Anolis sagrei: one gene and its partner. The protein of the gene in region 1 interacts with the protein of each later gene in a pairwise test. Links are inferred from orthologs where the notes say so. Each region holds a gene or a part of one and is shown on either strand. Other genes may lie near its edges.

Region 1 (7,151 bases):
GAATTTGTATGCATGCTGGAACAGATATATTTTAAAGTATAAGTCCATATACATACATATATATGTGTGTGTGTGAGAGAGAGTGTGTTTTGGATCACATAGGGAAGGGCGAACACTCCTGTGGTGTTCTGTTGCTGCTTGTGGCACTGTTTTAGAGGATTTCGCCTCCTTTTCTGTCCCTATGATAACTGGGTTTTGAAAAATGTGTCTAGTTGTGGAAATAACAATTCCAGATAAACCTTCAGTGGGGATCTTGTTTCCCCATGATAATAACTCTTCCATGACTAGATTCCCCTCACTTCCTGTTGTCTCAGTCCCATTCTTAACTGTGGGTCATTTGTAAGTTGGGTGTTTGTAACTCGGGTACGACCTGTATGTAGAAGGGGAGAGGAGGCTAACCTACTTACCCTATGCTCATTTATCAGAAAACCTACTTGACAAAACATCTTTTTCTCCCTTCTCTCACTTCATGCATTAACCTCTCCCCTGATTTTAAAGCATCCTAGGAGTTTCAAAAGGCAATTGGAAATGCACCTCCACCTGGCATACCTTCACTCTGGGCCATCAAAATCAAAAGTTTTATGCCTTAAAGATGAACATGTGTTATTGGACACAACCTTTCACAGGACACAATGTTCTGGTGTGCCTCTGAGTCCTTCTCCACTTACAGCGATCCTAAGGTCACAATTTAGCAAGATCTGTTCAGAAGGGCCAGGCCAATAACACTTGTTCATCCTCTCAGCCACCAAAGAAGGTTATTGGTGGCTAAGAGGGTGACTTGCCCAGTTGGTTTCCATGGCTGAGCCTCCAGAGCCCTGGTCCAATGCTCAAACCATGAGGCCACCCGGACTCCTCTCATAACCAGCCGCTTTGGGTCTCATTAAGAGAATAAAGAGGGCTATAAATCAATGCAGTAGTAATAACACTCTGTAACACAATTTTTGTTCCTGGGTTATAAATGGCATTTTCTAATTGGTTCTAATCACTATGTTTTAAAACTAGTATCAAGTCAATACAGAGCGTATGGTATAGTGGTTTTTAACTCTGGATATGTTTCAATGGTTTTTAACTAGGGATTTTAAATATACAGGGTTAGTCAAAATGCATAGGCCAATAAGCCATTCAATTGAATAGCTTATTGGCCTATGCATTTTGACTAACCCTGTATACTGTTTATATTTAATCCTGTTTTAATGTTTACATATTTGTATATTTGAAATCGTGTACAAATGCTTTTATGTTAAGCCACTGTATAAATATGTGAAAGGATGTAAAAAGGAAGAGGGAGCAGGTTTGTTTTCTGCTGCCCTGGAGACTAGGACTCAATGGAGCAATGGGCTCAAATGACAGGAAAGGAGATTTCAATGAACATGAGGAAGAACTTCTCACTGTGAGAGCTGTTCAGCAGTGGAACTCTCTGCCTCGGAATCTGGTGGAAACTTCTTCCTTGGAAGATTTAAAAAGATGCCGGATGACCATTTGTCAGGGGTGATTTGATTGTGCTGTTCCTGCATGAAGGTGGAGTGGAAGGGGGTTGGACTGGGTGGCCCCTGGGGTTGCTCCTATTATTATTATTATTATTATTATTATTATTATTATTATTATTATTACTAGAAGGGCTGGGTGGCCATCTGTTGCGAGTACTTTAATGGTGATTTTCCTGCATGAAGGCAGAAGTTAGTTGGACTGGATGATCTCTGAGGTTTCTGCTATGATGATGATGATTATTACAAAGGCTGGATGGCCATCTGTTGGGGGTACTTTGATTGTGTTTTTCCTGCATGGCAGAAGGCAGTTGGACTGGGTGGTCCCTGGGATAGCTCTTATTATTATTATTATTATTATTATTATTATTATTATTATTGCAAAGGCTGGATGGCCATCTCTTGGGGGTACTTTGATTGGGCGTTTCCTGTATGAAGGCAGAAGAGAGTTGGATTGGATGGTCTCTGGGGTTGCTCCATTTATCTATCTATCTATTTATTTATATCCTGCTTTATCTCTCCATACGGACACTCAGAGCGGCTCACAATAAAGGAACATTACAACTTAAAATACACAAACATACAACAATAAAACAGTATATGTGATTAAATATTAACAGTAGTAATTCTATTTAATACATTAGCATTACTATATTACAATATTATTATCAATATTATATGTCTATACAATATACTATACTATTAGCCTAGCACAATATTAGTATTACATATTACTATATTCTACTATACCACTATACTGCAATACTATTAGTAATATTACATGTAATATATAATATACAATTATTATTATATCATTATATTGTACTATATTATTATACCACAACATATATAATACGCGACCAGTATATTATACTACAGGTATTAGTATTATATAATATAATGTATTATTAGTATTATTAGAAAAGCTGGATTACCATCTGTCGGGGGTGTTGTGAGGGTGCTTTTCCTGCAGGGCAGAATGGGGTTGGACTGGATAGTCCTTGGGGTTTCTGCTATTATTATTATAATTATTATTACTAAAAAGGCTGGGTGGCCGGCCATCTGTTGGGGGTGCTTTGATGGTGTTTTTCCTGCATGAAGGGGGTTGGACTGGATGGCCCCTGGGGTCTCTTAACTGGGCGTCTACTCTACTATTCGACATGGACCTAACCGCGCACCCCAGAATATCTACTCCGTGCCATGATCCCTGCATTCACCAATTCTACTGAAAGAGAGACCCTGAAAGCAAAGGGCCATTATTCAAGGCCAAGCAAGCTCTGGGCCTGAGCCCGGAAACGAGGCCTCAGCCTGGGCCCTTAAGTCTCGCCAAACCCGCCCTGGATGGGGACCACGACTGAGGCCACGCCGCCTCCCCCTTGCCTAGAAGAGAGAGAGAAGAATAGACCGTTCACCCACCAGCTGGTTGGTGCTCCTGTTGTCGCCTTCCGCCATTTTGTCCGCCTTCGACAGCTCCAACCGTCAACCGCCCGGCACCGCCCCCAAGAAAGGCAAGTCTTTTCTCTCACCTCGCCTCCCATTGGTCAGGGGAACCAAACCCCACCAGCCAATCAGCGTCGTCTTGTTAGCCTCCGGGCCAATCGCCTACCTATTTACATTTTCAAAACGAAGGCGCGGCTCCCTGTAGTGTAAGCCTAGGCCAGCTTGGGCCCTCTCTCCAGATGTTGTGGACTTCAGCTCCCACAATTCCTCACATCCTCAGGCCTCTTCCTTTTGCTCCCCAGCCCTTTAAGGTTGGGCCGAGGCTGTGAAGAATTGTGGGAGTTGACGTCCAAAACACTGGAAAGAGAGCTCAAGTTGGCCCAGGTCTGCTTTGTTGTTGTTCATTCGTTCAGTCGTCTCCGACTCTTCGTGACCTCGTGGACCAGCCCACGCCAGAGCTCCCTGTCGGCCGTTACCACCCCCAGCTCCCTCAAGGTCAGTCCAGTCACTTCAAGGATGCCATCCATCCATCTTGCCCTTGGTCGGCCCCTTTTCCTTTTGCCTTCCACTTTCCCCAGCATAATTGTCTTCTCTAGGCTTTCCTGTCTCATGATGTGGCCAAAGTACTTCAACTTTGTCTCTAGTATCCTTCCCTCCAATGAGCAGTCGGGCTTTATTTCCTGGAGGATGGACTGGTTGGATCTTCTCGCAGTCCAAGGCACTCTCAGCACTTTCCTCCAACACCACAGCTCAAAAGCATCAATCTTCCTTCGCTCAGCCTTCCCTAAGGTCCAGCTCTCACATCCGTAGGTGACTACAGGGAATACCATGGCTTTGACTAGGCGGATCTTTGTTGCCAGTCTGATGTCTCTACTCTTCACTATTTTATCGAGACTGGACATTTTGTAAAGGTCTGCTTTACAAAATTGGAAAAGAAGCATTTTGTTTCTTATCAACCACAGGCACCACTACATAGAAACAAAAGGTTTCTGAGCCACTTTGAATTGGGGAAAAGCTAGGAAATGGCAAACACCAAATGCAAGCCTTGAAGGAAAGAAGGAAGAAAAAGGGAAGGAAGGTAAAGAAATAAAAAGGAAGGAAAGAAAGAAAGAAAGAAAGAAGGAAGGAAGGAAAAGGGGCAGGAAGGTAAGAAGGAAAAAGGGAATGAAGGTAAGTAAGAAAAAAGGAAGGAAAGGAAGAAGGGAAAGAAAAACGGAAGGAAGGAAAAAGGGAAGGAAGGGAAGAAAGAAAAAGGAAAGGGAAGAAGCAAAAAAGGAAGGACAGGAAAAAAAGGAAATGAAGGGAAGAAATAAGGAAGAAAAGAAGGGGGTTGGTCACTTCACAGGATGAACACAACACCTTTTTGTTGTCGTTTGTATTTTGGTCATTGGCCAAAACAAAATGTTGATATTAAGCAGGCGTGAGACTTTTGAGATACCCAAGTGTGATGAAGTGTACATTTTTTCTTGCAGTTATGTATTATTATAGACTAGCTTGGGGACCCAGCGCTGCCCGGGTTATTTAAGAAAGGAATTGTGTATCAAGTTTGGTCTTTATCAGTTATTTATATGACTCGCAGTTGTCTCAGGAAGTTAGTGAAGGTACTGTGAGTCCCATTATCTGTGGTCCATCCTCCTCCAAACTGCTCCAGGATGGAGAGTGGGTAATGGGGTTTTTGTGTGCCAAGTTTGGTCTTGATCGGTCATTAGATGAGTGTTGCAGAGGTCTTGGGAAGTGAGTGGAGGTACTTGAAGTCCCATCATCCATAGTCTGTACTCCCCCAAACCTCACCAGAATGTTGACTTGGCCATGGGGGCTCTCTGTTCCAAGTTTGGTCTTTATTCGTTTTTGAATGAGTTTTGCTATGGTTTCAGGAAGTGAGTGAACGTACTGCAAGTCCCATCCTCCATCGTCCATCCTTCAAACAGCACTGGGATGTAGGGTGGGTCATGGGGGCTGTGTGTGCCAAGTTTGGTCTTAAACGGTCATTAGATGAGGGTTGCAGCAATCTTGGGAAGGGAGTAGAGGTACTTGAAGTCCCATCATCCATGGTCTGTCCTCCAAACTGCACCAGGGTGTAGAGCGGGTCATTGGGGCTCCGTGTGCCAAGTTTGGTCTTGATTAGTCATTGGCGAGGGTCTCAGTGGTCTCAGAAAGTGAGTGAGGTTACTGCAAGTCCCATCAACCACCTCCGTTTTTTTTCCAAATGACACCAGGACGTAAAGTGGGTCATGAGAGGTCTATGTGCCAAGTATGCTCTTGATCAGTCATTGCATGAGATTTGCAGAGGTCTCAGAATGTGAGTGAAGGTACTGGAAGTCGCATCATCCATCGTCTGTCCTCCTCCAAAACTGCAGCAGGATGTAGAGTGGGTCATGGGGGCTCTGTGTGCCAAGTTTGGTCTGTATTGGTAATTTTCTGACAGAGCCCCTGGCCTTTCCTTTCCTCTCTTTGTCATCTCGGAATCTTGGAATTGAGGCTGGCCAATCTGAGACCATATGCAAATTTCCTTCTCTCATGTCTCCGTTTCTGTCATGAAACCTTTTCTCCACCAGGGGCTCCTGTAAAGCTGACCAATCAGAGATCATATGCAAATAGCACCACAGCGGCAGCCAATCAGAATCTTGGAACTTTCAGGGTGGCCAATCAGAATGCTGGCACATACACCGCCACACCGCCACACTTTTGTCCTCCGCATACAAACTTTGACTTTTATTATATACATAGATAAGGGTTAGTAATGGTAAGTATATAGTATTGCATAATATTGGGGGATGGTAACCAGCTTAGCTTGCTTTGAGCTGAGTTGCTATGGAGATAGGGGCAGAGCCAACTGCCACTTGGCAGAACAGCCATTTTGGAAGCGGTCAGTCTGTGGTTGGTGAACTGCAGAACTGGTTGGTTCTTTCCTGTGTAAAGAACCAGAGAGAATTCTGTAGTCATAGAACTACAGGGAAAGGCTGATGCTTCCTCTTCATCTTGGAAAGAAGTGACGAGTGGAGTGCCGCAGGGTTCCGTCCTGGGCCCGGTCCTGTTCAACATCTTTATTAATGACTTAGATGAAGGGTTAGAAGGCAGGATCATCAAGTTTGCAGACGACACCAAATTGGGAGGGATAGCCAATACTCCAGAGGACAGGAGCAGGATTCAAAATGATCTTGACAGATTAGAGATGGGCCAAAACTAACAAAATTAAGTTTAACAGTGACAAATGTAAGATACTCCACTTTGGCAGGAAAAACAAAATGCAAACATACAGAATGGGGGACGCCTGGCTCAAGAGCAGCAAGTTAAACATGAGCCAACAATGTCATGTGGCGGCAAAAAAAGCCAATGGGATTTTGGCCTGCATCAATAGGAGCATAGTGTCTAGATCTAGGGAAGTAATGCTACCCCTCTATTCTGCCTTGGTTAGACCACACCTGGAATATTGTGTCCAATTCTGGGCACCACAATTGAAGAGAGATATTGACAAACTGGAATATGTTCAGAGGAGGGCGACTAAAATGATCAAGGGTCTGGAGAACAAGCCCTATGAAGAGCGGCTTAAAGAGCTGGGCATGTTTAGCCTGAAGAAGAGAAGGCTGAGAGGAGACATCATAGCCATGTATAAATATGTGAGAGGAAGTCACAGGGAGGAGGGAGCAAGCTTGTTTTCTGCTTCCCTGGAAACTAGGACACGGAATGGCTTCAAACTACAAGAAAGGAGATTCCACCTGAATATTAGGAAGAACTTCTTGACTGTGAGAGCTGTTCAGCAGTGGAACTCTCTGCCCTGGAGTGTGGTGGAGGCTCCTTCTTTGGAAGCTTTTAAACAGAGGCTGGATGGCCATCTGTCAGGGGTGCTTTGAATGCAATATTCCTGCTTCTTGGCAGGGGGTTGGACTGGATGGCCCATGAGGTCTCTTCCAACTCTATGATTCTATGATTTATATTAAAAGTAACTGTTGTGGAAAAGAAGGGAAACCCTAATAAGCATCTTTATTGTAACAGAACCATCATAAAGAAAGGATAAGCGTGTGCCTGAAATAACCTGTTAAAGAAAGATCTCTTTCTAAAAGAACTAAGTTTAAGACCTGTTTGTTAGAATAATTAGACCTTCTAAGAGTTATTTAAGGACTGTTATGAACGTGACCATTAAAGATCTGTACCTCTAAGAGAAGAGAAACTTTGAAACCATCACATTTCTGTACCTCAACAAACTTGTTCGTTTCCTTTTGAAGTCAA
Region 2 (6,929 bases), on another chromosome or scaffold:
TACTTTTTGCTACCTTAATTTTTGTTATCTATCCAGCCTCCTACTTTTAAGAATTAAAAATCAACAGGCAATGAGTTTGAGATTTATAGAGTAGTTCTTGCTGTTATATGTTTAGTTTTGTGTGTTGTACAGATTAAGATTATTGTTTTAGATACAGTTCTATTTGTTGTTCTAAGTCTATAGTTTTATATACCCCCCCCCCCCAAAAAAAACCCCAATTTCTTTTTGTTTTGAAGGTGGCATTCCTCTTGCTTTTTCTAGGGGTCCTTCAACATAGCCATATAACCCAGAGTATCAAGGCAGATAATCCACAATATCTGCTTTAAACTGGGCTATCTGAGTCCACACTGCCATATAATCCAGTTCAATGTGGATTTTATACAGCTGTGTAGAAGGGGCCTAATTCTTTTGTCTGTTTCTGTTTCCATGTTTGCATTTCTCTTCTTTTGCATAAAAATCACCTGCAATTCCCTCCTGTATCTTTTACAGTGGTGGCAGTGGTGGGATTGGAAAAAGAAAGGTTCCCCCCGTCACATATGCGATAAGTGACCCTTATCTGTGTTACAGTGGTGGCAGCGGTGGGATCCTTTTTCCCCCCAATTATTTTTATACAAAAAATGTTTGGGGTTTCAAGTCTGACTCCACTGCAGTATTATTATTATTATTATTATTATTATTATTATTATTATTTGAAACACAACAAGATGAATCCACAGCAGACACTCTGCTGGCTGTTGAATTGGATCACACGTCGGACACTTCCCAAGTGTCTAGGACTGTGTGATGTATTGGCGAATAATGCATGCAGATCCCAGTAAAGCGGCCTTCTGCAACTGGCAGATGGTAATTTTGTCAGCACCGATTGTGTTTAAGTGCAGGCCAAGGACTTTAGGCACTGCACCCACTGTGCTGATCACCACTGGGACCACCTTGACTGGTTTGTGCCAGAGTCTATTATTATTATTATTATTATTAGTAGTAGTAGTAGTAGTAGTAGTAGTACTGGTAGTAGAATGCTGGACTAAATATCCACAATGGTTTTTATTATATCATGTTAGCCCCAAAAGGCAGCACTGCCCCTGAATCAATTCAAAAGTTAAAGGCAGAAGTTCACCATATGAAGCAACTCTCCAGCACTTATTTCTCAACTAGGAAAACTTTTGTTGTTGATTTCATGTGCTCTTAAGTCAACTCTAATTTATGACAACCCTATCAAAGCATTTTCTTGGCAAGATGTGTTCAGGGGAAGGCCGCCTTTGCCTTCCTCTGAGAATGAGTACATTTTCCCCCAAGTTAACCTTTGGGTTTGCAAGGCAAAGTGGGAATTCAGATACTAGTTCTTGTCGAACACCCAGGCTGGATCTACACTGCCAAATAATCCATTTTCTGAATCCAGATTATCAGTCTGGAACTGGTTTACATGAGTCTATACTGTAATATAACTAATGAAAAGCCGATGATTTGGATTCAGAAATAGGATTATTTGGCAGTGTAGATGAGGACTACTATACCACACTCGATGTATAGGAAACTACACCACTGAATTGCGTATAAAGCAAAAACCCAACTAGGATTATACTGTATTATATTAATGTAAGGCAAAATCATAGAACAGACCCCCTCCATCTTAAAAATAATAATCTGGAAATAGTCCTGTACTTCTAACTGTCATAATAAACAGTAATTAAAGAGGTGAAGCCATCTTCAGCAAAGGCAAACCTGTGCTGGGTTGAATTTTCATCTAGCCCTGCAGCTGTTAAAAGTGCAAGAGGTTAGTGAGGGAGTGAGAGAGAGAGAAATATAAAATAGCAATCCTATGGATCAGTACCTGTTTAATCTCCCGTGTGGACTGACAAACAGCACTCCTTGCTATAATATTTAGCTATGGCACTAAATGACAAAATGCTTTTCTGCCTCAACATTCAATTTGAGTGTATATGATCTAGAACTGGAGTCCTCAAACATTTTAAGCAAAGGGCCCGTTTATGGTCCCTCAGACTGTTGGAGGTGCATCTACACTGTAGAATTAAGGCAGTTTAAAACCACTTTGACTGCCATGACTCAGTGCTATGGGATCCAAGGAGTTGGAATTTGGTGAGGCATGAGTACTCTTCAACGGAGCAAAACTACAGCTCCAATGATCCTATAGCATTGAGTCATGGCAGTTAAAAATGGGAAATTCTACAGTGTAGCAGTGGTTCTCAACCTGTGGGTCCCCAGATGTTTTCACATTCAACTCTCAGAAATCCTAACAGCTGGTAAACTAGCTGGGATTTCTGGGAGTTGTAGGCCAAAACTCCTGGGGACCCATAGATTGAGAAGCACTGGTGTAGAGTCAGCATGTGATAGTGGCCCCTTTTCTTTCTGCCGGTTCAGTGTAAACTAACTTTGGTGCTATCTACACAACCGTATCATGCAGTTTGAAACTGCATTATATGTTCAATATAGACTCATTACATGACTCTACAATGAGCATATAATGTGGTTTAACTGAATTGGGGTCCCTTCTACACTGCCATATAATATCATTTGCACTGGATTATATGGTAGTGTAGACTCATATAATCCAGTTCAAAGCAGTTAATGTGGATTATCTGCTTTGATAATCTGGATGCTATGGCAGTGTAGAAGGGGCCAGATGACTCTACACCAGGGGTCCTCAAACTTTCTAAACAGAGGGCCAGGTCACAGTCCCTCAAACAGTTGGAGGGCCGGATGATAATTTGAAAAAAACAAACAAACCATGAATGAATTCCTGTGCACAATGCACATATCTTATTTATAGTGCAAAAAAACACTTAAAAACAATAAAATAATTAAAATGAAGAACCATTTTAATAAATAGAAACTTATTAGTATTTCAATGGGAAGTGTGTGCCTGCTTTTGGCTGATGAGATAGGATTGTTGTTGTTGTGTGCTTTCAAGCCATTTCAGACTTAGGTTGATCCTGAGCGAGGGCCGGGTAAATGACCTTGGAGGGCCGTATCTGGCCCCTGGGCCTTAGTTTGAGGACCCCTGCTCTGACTATATAATTCGATTTGAAATTGCATCATTCGACCGTGTTAAATGAAAACTTTGTATCATGCCCAAAATTATCAGTACATACTTATTTAGGCGATCCCTCGTAATCCGAGGATGATGGTCCTCCAAGTGTAGTATCCTGGCGGTAGGTGACTGTGGAGCTCTATTCTTGATCTGCATCTTCTCCCACAGTGAGGGCATCAGTTTCCAGGTGGAAGGCAGTCCCGGTCGGGGTTGGCTTGAAGCACCTTCCTCTTGGCACGTTTCTCTCTTTTGCCCTCCATTCATACCTCTTCAAATTTTGCAGCACTGCTGGTTACAGCTGAACTCCAACTGGAGCGCTACTGTATGTATAATACTACCTCCAGACTATGTGTTTAAGGGCCCTTCCTCACAGCCCTAAATCCCAGAATATCAAGGCAGAAAATCTCACAATATCTGCTTTGAAATGGGTTATCTGAGTCCACATTCTGATAATGTGGTATTTTCTGCCTTGATATTCTGGGATATAGGGCTGTGTGGAAGGGCCCTTAGGGTATATATGTATATAACCAATACATATAATACTTAGACTTGGATCCTCTCTCCAAGAATATCTCATGATGTATGCATGGGCAAATACCATAAACACTCCATAATAATAATAATAAATCAGTAGTAATAGTCTGCAATCACCACCTCTTCTTGCTCGAAGCATTGAGTGCTTTAGTTGCACTTTCCTGCCTTAGAACTTGGACTCCAAGCCTAGGCTTCTGTTTCATAGAGAGGAGACTCCAGGCGCCTAGCCCCGCCCCTCCCTGCGAGAGGCGTTCCAGGCCACCAGAAACTACACTTCCCGTGATGCCTTGTGCACCCGGTAGTGGCTGGCATTGGCGGAGAGCGGCCCACGTGCTCCCCTTCCTCCAGCCCTGGGTCCTCCCTCCTGCTTGCCACCAGGGCTGGCTGGGACTCCCTTTGCCCGCCAGCAACAGCTGAGCCCAAGACTTGGTGCTGCTCTGCTCCTGCTATGTTGCCTTTCCCTTTGAAACACTTGGCCAAGGTAAGGTGCAGCATGCATGTATCTGTATGAATGTATTTGCATTTGTGTATATATAAGTGTTAGATCTGCATTCCTTGAAGGGGGACCAGCTTCCTTGGGATCCAAGGAGCCAGAAAGGGTTGGGGGTGGTGGTCTTAAGTTCCACGGGGTGCATCTGCACTGTAGAATTAATGCAGTTTGACTCCACTTGAACTGCCATGGCTCAGTGCTATGGGATCTTAGGGGTTGGAGTTTGGTGAAGCACCAACATGCTTTGGGAGAGAAGGCTAAAGATCTTGTGAAACTACAGCTCCCAAGATTCCGTAGCATTGAGCCATGACAGTTAAAGTGGTGTCGAACTGCTTTAATCCTATGATCTAGATGCCCCCATAGGGCCTTAGGTATTTTGCCTGTCTCAGGTCCAAAGTGGGGCCTGATCCTAGTCTTCCTCCTGTCCCATTGGCTTCCCTCTGCATTTGGGGCAGAAGGAGGGTTTCAATGTTTGGCCTGTACAGCTTCCCATGGGCAGAGCATTTTTCTCCCACTGATTCCCCCCCCCCCATGAAACAACAACAACAACAACAACAAAGTTTTATTTAACTGAAAAAAGACTTAAAATTACTAAATTTCCATGGGTAGAGCATTTTCCACCCACCGATACAACAACAATATTTTATTTAACCGGCAAAAAATACTTTAAAATACTAAATTTTCATGGGTAGAGCATTTTTTGTCCACTGATGCAACAACAACAAAGTTTTATTTAACTGGAAAAAATACTAAAAAATACTAAATTTCCATGGGCAGAGCATTTTTTGCCCACCGATACAACAACAACAACAACAACAACAACAACATTTTATTTAACTGGCAAAAAATACTTAAAAATACCAAATTTTCATAGGTAGAGCATTTTTCGTCCACTGATGCAACAACAACAACAACAAAGTTTTATTTAACTGGAAAAATACTAAAAAATACTAAATTTTCATGGGTAGAGCATTTTTCGCCCACCGATGCAACAATAACAACAACAATAACAACAACAAAGTTTTATTTAACTGGAAAAATACTAAAAAAAATACTAAATTTCCATGGGCAGGGCATTTTTTGCCCACTGATACAACAACAACATTTTATTTAACTGGCAAAAAATACTTAAAATTACTAAATTTCCATGGGCAGAGCATTTTTCACCCAGGGATGCAACAACAGCAAAAAACAACATTTTATTTAACTGGCAAAAAATACTTAAAAATACTAAATTTTCATGAGTAGAGCATTTTTCGCCCACTGATGCAACAACAACAACAAACTTTGTTGTTGTGGTTGATGTTGTTGTTGAACAACAACATCCACAACAACAAAGTTTTATTTAACTGGAAAAACTACAAAAAATACCAAATTTGGGGTGTTCTTTTTTTGTAGTTTTTCCAATTAAATAAAACTTTGTTGTTGTGGTTATTGTTGTTGTTGGGTAGAGCATTTTTCGCCCACTGATGTCCCTCCAATGCAGTGTTTCTCAACCTGGGGTCCCCAGATGTTCTTGGCCTACAACTCCCAGAAATCCTAGCCAGTTTACCAGCTGTTAGGATTTCTGGGAGTTGGAGGCTAAAACATCTGGGGACCCCAGGTTGAGAAGCACTGCTCCAATGCAACAACAATGACAACAAAGTTTTATGTAACTGTAAAAATACTACATATTGTTAATATTCAATATTCATATTAAAATATTAAACCAGATATAAGAGCAAATGCGCAAATGGAAAAACAGCTGGCCTCTTCTTTCTATTGCAACCATCACAACAACAAAAGTTGCACTTAAGAGAATACCCTTTAATATTTTTTTTAAATTTACAAGAAGTAAAAACAAACATATCATAAAGGACAAGGTATGCAATGTAGATGGAAAAACTGATAACTTGTTTGTATTGCAACTACCACAACAAAAAGTATATATATGCACGCAAATGTGAGTAGATCAATTGGTACCACTCTGGCGGGAAGGTAACAGCTCTCCATGCAGTCATGCTGGCCACATGACCTTGGAGGTGTCTATGGACAACACCAGTTCTTCTACTTAGAAATGGAGATGAGCACCATCCGCCAGAGTTGGACATGACTGGACTTAATGTCAGGGAAAAACCTTTACCTTTATCTTATATTAAAGGGAACCTTTTTAACACTATAAAGGTAAAGTGTATGATGTGGATGGAGATACAGCTGGTCATGTCTTTCCATTGCAACAATTACCGCAAAAAGCTTTAATTCATAAAGAAAAATATTAAATTAATTTTTTCTTAGTAAAAGGTAAGAGCAAATGTATTCGAAAAGACATAGGATGTGGGTACAGAAACAGCACAGCAATCACTTCTTTCCATTGCAACCAGCACAACAAAAAAGTTTTGTTCCTCTACTGAAGTTCTGTTTCCAGGCACTCTTGCTTTCCTCAACCATTTCCAATGGGAATGTTAAATTGTGCAAGTAAAGAAAAGCAAAGGAGAAAGGAGTTTATATCACCGCCGGAGGGTTATAGCAGGCAATGTGATGACAACACAGATCTCCTTTTTGGGGAGCCATTCTGCCGCTCCATGAGTATTTAATTCTATCTAATGGCTCTTGGATTGCGGCACAAAGCGCAGGGAAGAGTTATCTGGATCTTCAAGACTGAGACGCTATTATCAGCCGAAAACCTCTCCGGGAAGCCATGCTCTGCTGGCTTTTATGGGCTAATTTTTGCAGCTTCTCTTTTCTCTTGCTGTCCTATCTGACATTGCAGCTCTGAGGACAGAGAGGGAGAGAAATGACAAAAGAGGCCTTTGGAGCGGATAAGAGGGAGGGTAGGGAGAGGTACAAAAAACAAAGCAAAATAAAAAACAACTTGTGCGC

The links.
Region 2: the proteins of ARL6IP1 (region 1) and SHMT2 interact in binary tests that used the Homo sapiens proteins (3 or more experiments, as listed by UniProt). The two-hybrid records come from large-scale screens. The link is inferred for Anolis sagrei from reciprocal best matches to the Homo sapiens genes ARL6IP1 and SHMT2.

The regions. Positions count from the first base shown.
Region 1 is NC_090034.1:25,324,787-25,331,937, forward strand, and holds the start of ARL6IP1 (ADP-ribosylation factor-like protein 6-interacting protein 1), read right to left. Parts: upstream 3,008-7,151; 5' UTR 2,937-3,007; coding exon 2,901-2,936; intron 1-2,900. UniProt on the Homo sapiens protein: Positively regulates SLC1A1/EAAC1-mediated glutamate transport by increasing its affinity for glutamate in a PKC activity-dependent manner.
Region 2 is NC_090022.1:184,965,735-184,972,663, forward strand, and holds the start of SHMT2 (serine hydroxymethyltransferase, mitochondrial), read left to right. Parts: upstream 1-3,929; 5' UTR 3,930-4,028; coding exon 4,029-4,061; intron 4,062-6,929. UniProt on the Homo sapiens protein: Catalyzes the cleavage of serine to glycine accompanied with the production of 5,10-methylenetetrahydrofolate, an essential intermediate for purine biosynthesis.